Oryctolagus cuniculus: one gene and its partner. The protein of the gene in region 1 purifies or fractionates together with the protein of each later gene. This does not show direct contact. Links are inferred from orthologs where the notes say so. Each region holds a gene or a part of one and is shown on either strand. Other genes may lie near its edges.

Evidence for each region.
Region 2: the proteins of IQGAP1 (region 1) and MYL6 purify together in Homo sapiens (affinity purification with mass spectrometry; 4 studies listed by BioGRID and IntAct, counting the BioPlex papers as one, with this or other methods). This does not show direct contact. The link is inferred for Oryctolagus cuniculus from reciprocal best matches to the Homo sapiens genes IQGAP1 and MYL6.

The regions. Positions count from the first base shown.
Region 1 is NC_091443.1:100,724,760-100,728,560, reverse strand, and holds part of IQGAP1 (ras GTPase-activating-like protein IQGAP1), read left to right. Parts: intron 1-471; coding exon 472-574; intron 575-952; coding exon 953-1,088; intron 1,089-1,503; coding exon 1,504-1,591; intron 1,592-3,801. UniProt on the Homo sapiens protein: Plays a crucial role in regulating the dynamics and assembly of the actin cytoskeleton.
Region 2 is NC_091442.1:58,964,351-58,968,770, reverse strand, and holds the start of MYL6 (myosin light polypeptide 6), read right to left. Parts: upstream 2,956-4,420; 5' UTR 2,633-2,955; coding exon 2,630-2,632; intron 2,381-2,629; coding exon 2,353-2,380; intron 1,521-2,352; coding exon 1,377-1,520; intron 863-1,376; coding exon 689-862; intron 597-688; coding exon 519-596; intron 218-518; coding exon of another isoform or gene 189-217; exon of another isoform or gene 174-188; intron 1-173. Other genes in the region: myosin light chain 6B, read right to left, coding at 3,184-3,212, 3,333-3,410, 3,856-4,029, 4,237-4,380. UniProt on the Homo sapiens protein: Regulatory light chain of myosin. Does not bind calcium.

The DNA of each region.
Region 1 (3,801 bases):
AGCTGGGGCTGGGCCAGTCCAAAGCCAAGAGCCAGGAACTCCATCCGAGTCTCCCACATACTTGGCAGAGGTCCTAGTCCTTGGCCCATCTCCACTGCTTCTCCAGCCACATTAGCGTTGGCTGGATTGGAAGCGGAGCAGCCAAGATGGGATGCTGGCGTCTCGGGCTGCGGCTGCACCGCAGCACTGGGCCCAACGTGGGGTAGTGAAGCCTGAGGGTCTGCTCCACTCCGCTCCGTCTGAATGCCATATGGCCGCGAGGTTGAGAGAGTGCCAGTATTTCCTCTCCCTGTGTGGTAACGGGACACCAGCAGGGCACACGGTGGTGCTCTCGGGTCACGTTGGCTGGGCCCGCTTGCTGAGGTGAGGGTTGGTTTGTCCGTTCTTTGGACGAGGAAGCTCAGCACTCAGGGAGGGGCTGGGCGCGAGGACTGAGGACGCGAATGGACTGATGGTTGGTTTTGGACGCAGCTCCTGTTAGATCACCAGGACGCCATCGCCCCGGAGCACAATGACCCGATCCATGAGCTGCTGGACGACCTTGGCGAGGTGCCCACCATCGAGTCCCTGATAGGTAAAGTTCTGAGTCTCTGCACTGTCTCTGGATGTGCAGTGGAAAACAGAGACCACCCCTGTCTGGGAAGGGCTGCAGCCAGCGGGAGGGACGAGGTAAACGTGCAGTCACGGCTCGTCCTGTGACCGGTCCCGGAAGGGGAGGAGGCCTGGGGGAGCGCTGGGCCGCAGCGCCGACACGACTGAAGTTACTTTACCGTGTCTCCTTTGCCTTTATTACCTGGCGTAACATTTTACAAGACCTCTCAGGGAGGTTGCCCTGCCCTGCCGCGTGTGTCGGCTTGGTCGCCTGCCGTCCTCGGCTTGCGTCCTCTTCTGTTTGTGTTCTTTGCCTCCAGCGTCTCCTCTATTGATTCTTTCTGCCCTCCCAAAACTTCAGGGGAAAGCTCTGGCAACGTGAACGACCCGAACAAGGAAGGTCTGGCGAAGACGGAAGTCTCTCTCACGCTGACCAACAAGCTTGACGTCCCGGGAGACGAGAACGCAGAAATGGACGCCCGGACTATCCTGCTGAAGTGAGTATATCAGAAGCAGTGAGAGTCATGGTGACATTGTCCCAGAGGCCCCTTGGCCTTTGGTGACAGGCCCACTGGGTCCGACCTGAAAGGACCATCTCGGCCCCTCACCATCACAACTGTGGTTACGGTTACCTTGCGTATCTTACTCGGCATAGGACTTAACCACCTTGTTTTGCCAGTCTGCTAAAGTGAAGTTTACTGTTGTAAATACTGGCTCTGGGCCCACTCCACTGTACAGTGCAGTTGCATAAATAACCTAGGCCCTGAGTGCCTCGTGCGAGCAGCCGCCCGCTGGGACTCCCTGGGATGATGTTTGTGCCGCCGCCACCGCCGCCGCCGCTGCTGCAGTCACTGAACAGGGAGGGGAGCGCCCGCCAGCTGGTGTCTGAATGCTTCCCTCATCTCATTGCAGCACAAAGCGTTTAATTGTGGATGTCATCCGCTTCCAGCCAGGAGAGACCTTGACGGAGATCCTGGAAACACCAGCCACCAGTGAGCAGGTAGGGTTTGGGTTTGACATACACCACCGTGAAGCGGCTAACTCTCCTGTGACAGGCACGTGCCGGGTAGAGGGAGGCGAGATGGAGTGAGGAGAGCTCCTGGAGCAAGCGTGAACCTGCCCGGAGGATGGGGGTGGTTAGATCTGGTGTGAGCAAGTCCAGAGGAGATAGGTGTTCCTGGGTCTCCAAGCTCCTTGGCTGTCTCCAGCAGAGTGAAAGGGGGCGGGGCGTGGGTCTGTGACTCTAACCCGGGGCAGGATCAGTGAGTCCGTCCTGTAATTGATTGCCTACTGCAGAGTTGGAATTCTGTGTACCTTGGCAGATAGATGGAAAGTACAGAGGATGGTTCCTAAGCTCAGTGAGCTCTTGGCTCTTACTGGGGAAATGTGGCACGTAAACCTAACGCAGTGATAAAACCCATTAGAAATGTAAACCCGAAACAACGAGAAGACCATTAGAAATTAGTGATGGTGTTGACTGTGAAAATGACAGGGGATACAGGAAAGGCCAGGAGCAGCAGTGCTTCAGGAAGATTGCACAAGATGAGCGGGGCCTGAGCCAGACTTGACATGGGATGGGTAGGGCTTGAGTGTGCAGAGGAAGGGCATTCCAGGCCGGAGAGCCTGGCTGAGCCGAGGTGGAGAGGCGGGGAAGGCCCTGTGGCCAGACTACACCTAGAATGCGGTGTGCATGCAGGGGAGCGGTGAGGAACGAGACGTGAGGCAGGAATCTGGCACTGCAGCGTGAGAGCCTTTGGAAGCTTGGGGACCATTAGCAGTGAGGGATTCCAGTGCCACCCCTGCAGATGGCAGTTGGGTCAGCCAGGTGCGTGACACCAGTCCAGAGAAGGGTGCATGGCAGTGGGAAGGGTTGGGTGAGTCGCTTGGCTGCTAAGACACCTGTTTCTCATTGTCGAAGGAGAAAAGTAGTTTCCAGATATTAACCGTAGGACTCCGTTTCATTAAATGAAAACTTAGAAGCCCAATATGGAGAGCAGGTAAAGCTGCAGCTGCTCCGGCAGCTCCAGGACTGGGGCACCTGGAGCCCAGCCCTCGAGGGCTCTGGGAAGCCCCTAAGGCTGCACAGAGCACTGTTTGAAAGCCTCTCAGCCTTTGGATGCCGCACTGATTAGATGCGTGTGGGGGCGAGAACCTGCCTTCCCGTGACTGCAGCGTGCCGACCCAAAGCACGTGTGAGGCAGGGAAGGCGGAGCCGGTCCTTACTGAGAACCTACTGTCGGTTTCTTTTGTCCGTGCTCTTTCCTTTTATCTTGGCGGTATCCCTGTGAGGTGAGTCTTGTCATTCCCGTTCTATAGATAAGGAAACTGAGATCCTTATCCATTAAATAACTTGCCTGAGACCTACAGCTTGTAATGACAGATTCCAGCCCTGCCTGAGTCCAGAGCGTGTGCCCCTCGCATCGTGTGTGCGCAGTAGTGTTGATGTTAGAGGAGAGGGGACGACTGGGGAAGGGGGTTGTTCTAGTTGGGGAGGGATTACACGTTTGACCTGCAGCCACCCCAAACATCCCAAAATGCGGCAACAGAGCCTTAAAGATTGGGGTGGAGATCGTGGAAGCTACTGAAAGCAAGCAGAGACGAATGGCTTTTTTTTTTTTTTTTTAAGATTTATTCACTTTACTTGAAAGTCACAGTTACACAGAGAGAAGGAGAGAGAGAGAGAGCTTCCATCCACTGGTTCACTCCCCATTGGCTGCAATGGCCGGAGCTGCGCCAGTCCAAAACCAGGAGCCAGGAGCTTCTTTCTGGGTCTTCCATATGAATGCAGGGGTCCAAGCACTTGGGCCGTCTTCTACTGCTTTCCCAGGCCACAGCAAAGAGCTGGATTGGAAGTGGAGCAGCCGGAACTCGAACCGGTGCCTGTATGGGATGCCGGCACTGCAGGCAACGGCTTTACCTGCTGTGCCACATCGCCTGCCCCCAGAAATGGCTTTGAGTGCCTTGGAAGTCCCAGCGTAGGCCTAGGGCGGAAAGAGAGTGCAGAGACTGTGAGCCAGGTGATGACTAAGAATAGATGCTGGGTTTGGGAGGTGGGAATGGGGATCATAATTAATGGTGAGAGCTTTAGATACAGAAGCCAGGTTGCAAAGGGTTAAAGAAGAAAATGCTAGAAGAATTGAGCAGCAGATGTACTGAAATGTTGGGTGGGAACAGAACAGGCTTTGGGTAGAGACTAAGACAGACTCGGGG
Region 2 (4,420 bases), on another chromosome or scaffold:
GTACCATTCCCCCAGGCTGTCTTCCTCTTTGAGGACCCCTCCCCTCCTAGCCAGCTCCATGCAGGAACATGCCAGAAGTCAGATGGTAGTAAGGGTGAGGGCAGGGGCGAGAGCACAGGCTGGAGAGAGACACTGGGGCGATCAACTAGAGGAGAGGCTGGGAGGAGCCGTACCCGCCCCACGGCCCGTCACCCCGACAGGATATGCCTCACAAACGCTGCAGGAAGGAAGAGACATTCGTGGTGAAGACAAGACACGGACACGGGTGAAGGGTCAGGCGCTGGGGGACACACATCCCGTGGAGTCTACGTCCCCTTCCTTCCCCACTCTCCGTGCCACGTTCCCCCTTCCTTTCCTGTCATCCTCCCCCTGACCCTCTCCCCCAACCCCTGGGCTGGGCCAGGCCAAGCCCTGCCCTTTGCCTCCTGGCTCCTCTTGGAGCCCAAGTCCAGGGATATGAAAAACCCCAAGTCTTATCCCTAAGCTGACCCCTGTGACTGCCCCAGGTGACCCCTCACCTTCGTAGTTGATACAACCATTGCTGTCCTCGTGCCCTGCCACCAGCATCTCTACTTCCTCCTCTGTCATCTTCTCACCTGCAGAGGGAAGGAGGCATTTTTTAAGGTGGGTGACAAGTGAGGTCTCTCAGAGTGAGTAGGAGTAGCTCAGCTCAAGGACAGAGCCTTACCCAGTGTGACAAGGACATGGCGGATCTCAGCACCCATGACAGTGCCGTTCCCTTCCTTGTCAAACACCCGAAGGCCTTCAACGTAATCCTCATAGGTTCCCTGGTCCTTGTTCTTGGCCACAGTCTGCAGCATGGGCAGGAAGTGCTCAAAGTCCAGCACCTTCACATTCATCTCTGTCATAAAGGAAGCATGGGGACGTCAGGCCAGGAAGTCACACGAGCTCTCAGGAGGGAACTCTCAGGATCACAGTCAGCAAATGACTCCAGGGGTGGGAGGTGGGCGCTCTGGCCTAGCAGGTAGAGCCACTGCCTGCAACATCGACACCCCATATGGGTGTCAGTTATGTCCTGGCTGCTCCACTTCCAATCCAGCTCCCTGCTGTGGCCTGGGAAAGCAGCAGAAGACGGCCCAAGTGTGTGGGCCCCTGCACCCATGTGAGAGACCTTGAAGAAGCTCCTGACTTCATGGCTTCAGCCTGGCCCAAGCCTGGCTCTTAGCCATTTGGGAAGTGAACCAGCAGGTGGAAGATCTCTCTGTCTCTCCAACTCTTTCACATAAATACATCTTAAAAAAAAAAAAAAGACTCAGCAGGGGCAACCTGGGATTTCCTAATCGAGACAAGACTTGCTTGAGCTTGGGGCCTCTGAAGCTCTCAATTGGAGTGGGGCTGCTCTCTACGACCCTCACCGTCACTCTTGGGGTTCCCCAGGACCTTGAGCACCTCGGCGTTGGTGGGGTTCTGGCCCAGGGCCCTCATCACGTCCCCACACTGGCTGTACAGGATCTTGCCATCGCCTGTCCGGTCAAACAGCTGGAAGGCCTCCTTGAACTCTGAGGATTCAGATGAAGGTCAGTACTGGGGCCGTGGGGGTTAACCTGAACCCTGCCTTGGGAGGGCCCTGATCAAGCTGAGGAAACCAGATACCTCTACACTAAGTGTCCCAGGAGGGATCCATTTCTCCTCCCAACTCAAGTGTCCCACATGAAGAATCAGCCACCCGGTCCCCTTGGTGGTCTGCTAACATCCATGTGCACACACCCTCCGCCTGCAGCAGGCCTGCCAGCCTCCCGCTACTAAAACACTACTCAGGGCAGGAATTTGCCACCGCCCAGTCTGGGTCATGTCCTTATAAGGAAGTGGGAGCAACAGCCCAAGACCTGGGTCATCCCAGCTGGCCACTTCCACCATACAAAGACCTTAGCAGAGTAAAACTATAGTCACATCCTGGGCACACTCCCCTGTCCCCGACTTCAGGGAAATAATCAGGTCACTGCCCTTCACAATCTGCACGATTCAAGCCGGGGGTGGGGAGAGCAGGGAGGGAGAGTTAAAGGAGGAGAGAAGAGGCAGATGTAGTGATTAAGGGACAGCAGAGGCACGCAGACCCTCCCCAAACCCCACACACAGCAGGCACTAGGTGACCACATACCCACACCTAAAACTCACCCAGTGCTTGGGGCTCAGATCTAGAGTAGAAGGGGAGTGAGGAAGAAAGTGAGAAAAGGAAACAGAGGACCCGGAAGAAGGGAGAAGGGACTCCAGGGATACTCTCCCGAGGGTGGGGGTGGGGGGCGGTAAAGAGATAACAGTTTGGGGTTAGGAGCCAGAGGGAGTGTCCTTCTCCCTGAAGATGACCTCAGTTGGAGCCAGAGAATGACCTACCTGCCGTCTGGTCCTCGGTGAAGTCGCACTGCTCGGAGAAGAGGTAGCGGTCAGCACCCGAACTCCAACCTCCCCCCCCCCCCCGCCCCATGCTCCATCCCCGTCCCACAAACTCCTCTTGCAGGCTGGGGCTCCGCTCCCCAGCAGCACCAGGACCCCAGGCTTTCCAACCCACCCAGATCCCCTTCGCCCGCTACCCTGGCCTGCTCCTCGTCCCCTGCCCCCGGCTGCCCGCCTCGTCCCAAACCCCACTCGGCTCCCAGGCCCCGGGCCCCACCATCTTGACCGCTCAGCTCTGCGGGATCTTTTCCTGCAGTAATGGCTCCGGCTCCGGGCCCAACCCTAGTCTTAGTACGCCCTGATGACGTCACCCCGGGCCGGCCAGCCAATGGGCGCCCCGCCCCGGGCTCGGGCGGTTACATTACTGCATTAGTAATGAGACGGGCGGGGTCGCTCGCACCTGAGCCCGCAGACGCTCGAGCGGGTGGGGGGTCGGGCGCAGCGATCTGCTCCTCCTAACTCCCAGAACATCGGAGGATGAGGTACCGGGAAGTGGGGAAAGGCGTCACTCCCCTCCAACCCCACAAAGAAAACCAGTCTGAGACCGAGGAAGGAACCGTGTCTTTATTTTGAAACAATAGGTGGCCTCCTAGTGGCAGGAACGTGCTTCCTCCTGCAGGGGGTGGGGGGAATCAGTATCTGGCCCCGCGGGATCTGTGGGAAAAAAATGAAAGTTGCCAAGCTCTGACGCCCGCGCAGTCCGCGGCTTTCTGAGCTGGCGGGAGGCGGGGGAGACTCGGCCCTCAGGTCGCAGGGCCCTACCTGTAGAGCTCAGACGCTTAGGATGTGCTTCAGGAAAGCTGCGGAGAGAGGAGGCAGAGGGTCCTCAGACCCGGGCCTGCGGACACCGCGCCCGACTCTAGGTAACCCAGGGTGCGCCCAGCCGCCCCCGAAGGGCCCCTCCCGCCCCGGCCCCTCACCCTCGTAGTTGATGCATCCGTTGCTGTCCTCATGTCCCGCCAGGACAGTCTCCACCTCCTCCTCAGTCATCTTCTCTCCTGCACCCCAGACACGGCGGCGTTGGAGCCCCGCCCTGGCGCGGTCCCTCAGGGGCCCAAGCCACACTCTTCTGGGTGGCACCTCTTATCCCACCCTGGAGACTTGCTCGGAGCCACTCCCCCCAAGGACATCCTCCCGCTGTCGCGGTAAAGCCTCTTGTTTTGCATCTCGACTCGTAACAAAGTGCCTTGCTACTGATGGGAGTTTCTAGGGACAAGGGAACTGACTCCCAGGGGTGACGGGCACACGTCTCCCACTTGTCTCCCGTTCTCTGCCCTGTGGGAGGCACGTTAGCCTCTGGAAGCGCCAGCCCTTCAGGTCCTGTCCCCAGCCCTTCCATCTCCTGCCCAGCAGGGCAGTAATCCTCTCCCTGGCTCTGCCTACCCTGGTCCACTGCTCCCCCACTCCCCCACCAGCCCTCATAGAATTCTGTCCCTGCCTCACCCAGGGTGGTGAGGACGTGTCTCAGCTCTGCTCCCATGACTTTGCCGTTTCCCTCCTTGTCAAACACCCGAAGCCCCTCCAGGTAGTCATCGTAAGAGCCTTGGTCCCGGTTCTTGGCCACTGCCTGGAGCATGGGCAGGAAGGTCTCAAAGTCCACACGCCGGGACTTCAGCTCTGGCGGTTGGAGGGAAGCATGAGACAGGTCAGTGTGATGTCGCCGGGGCCCCTCCCACACCACCTTTCATCGTGCTCAGCATTCGGGATGTTTTTCTGCCTGGTGTCTGACGGTTTCTCAGGTCCCGAGATCCAGCCCAGCATCCTTTGTCACCTTACCGACATCTAGCCACAGAAAAACCTGCGTTGTCCCAAGGATCCCCTCACCGTCACTCTTGGGGTTCCCCAGGACCTTGAGCACCTCGGCGTTGGTGGGGTTCTGGCCCAGGGCCCTCATCACGTCTCCACACTGGCTGTACAGGATCTTGCCATCCCCTACTCGGTCAAACAGCTCAAAGGCCTCCTTGAACTCTGGGGGACACAAGGAGGGATCACTGTAGTCCAGGACTCC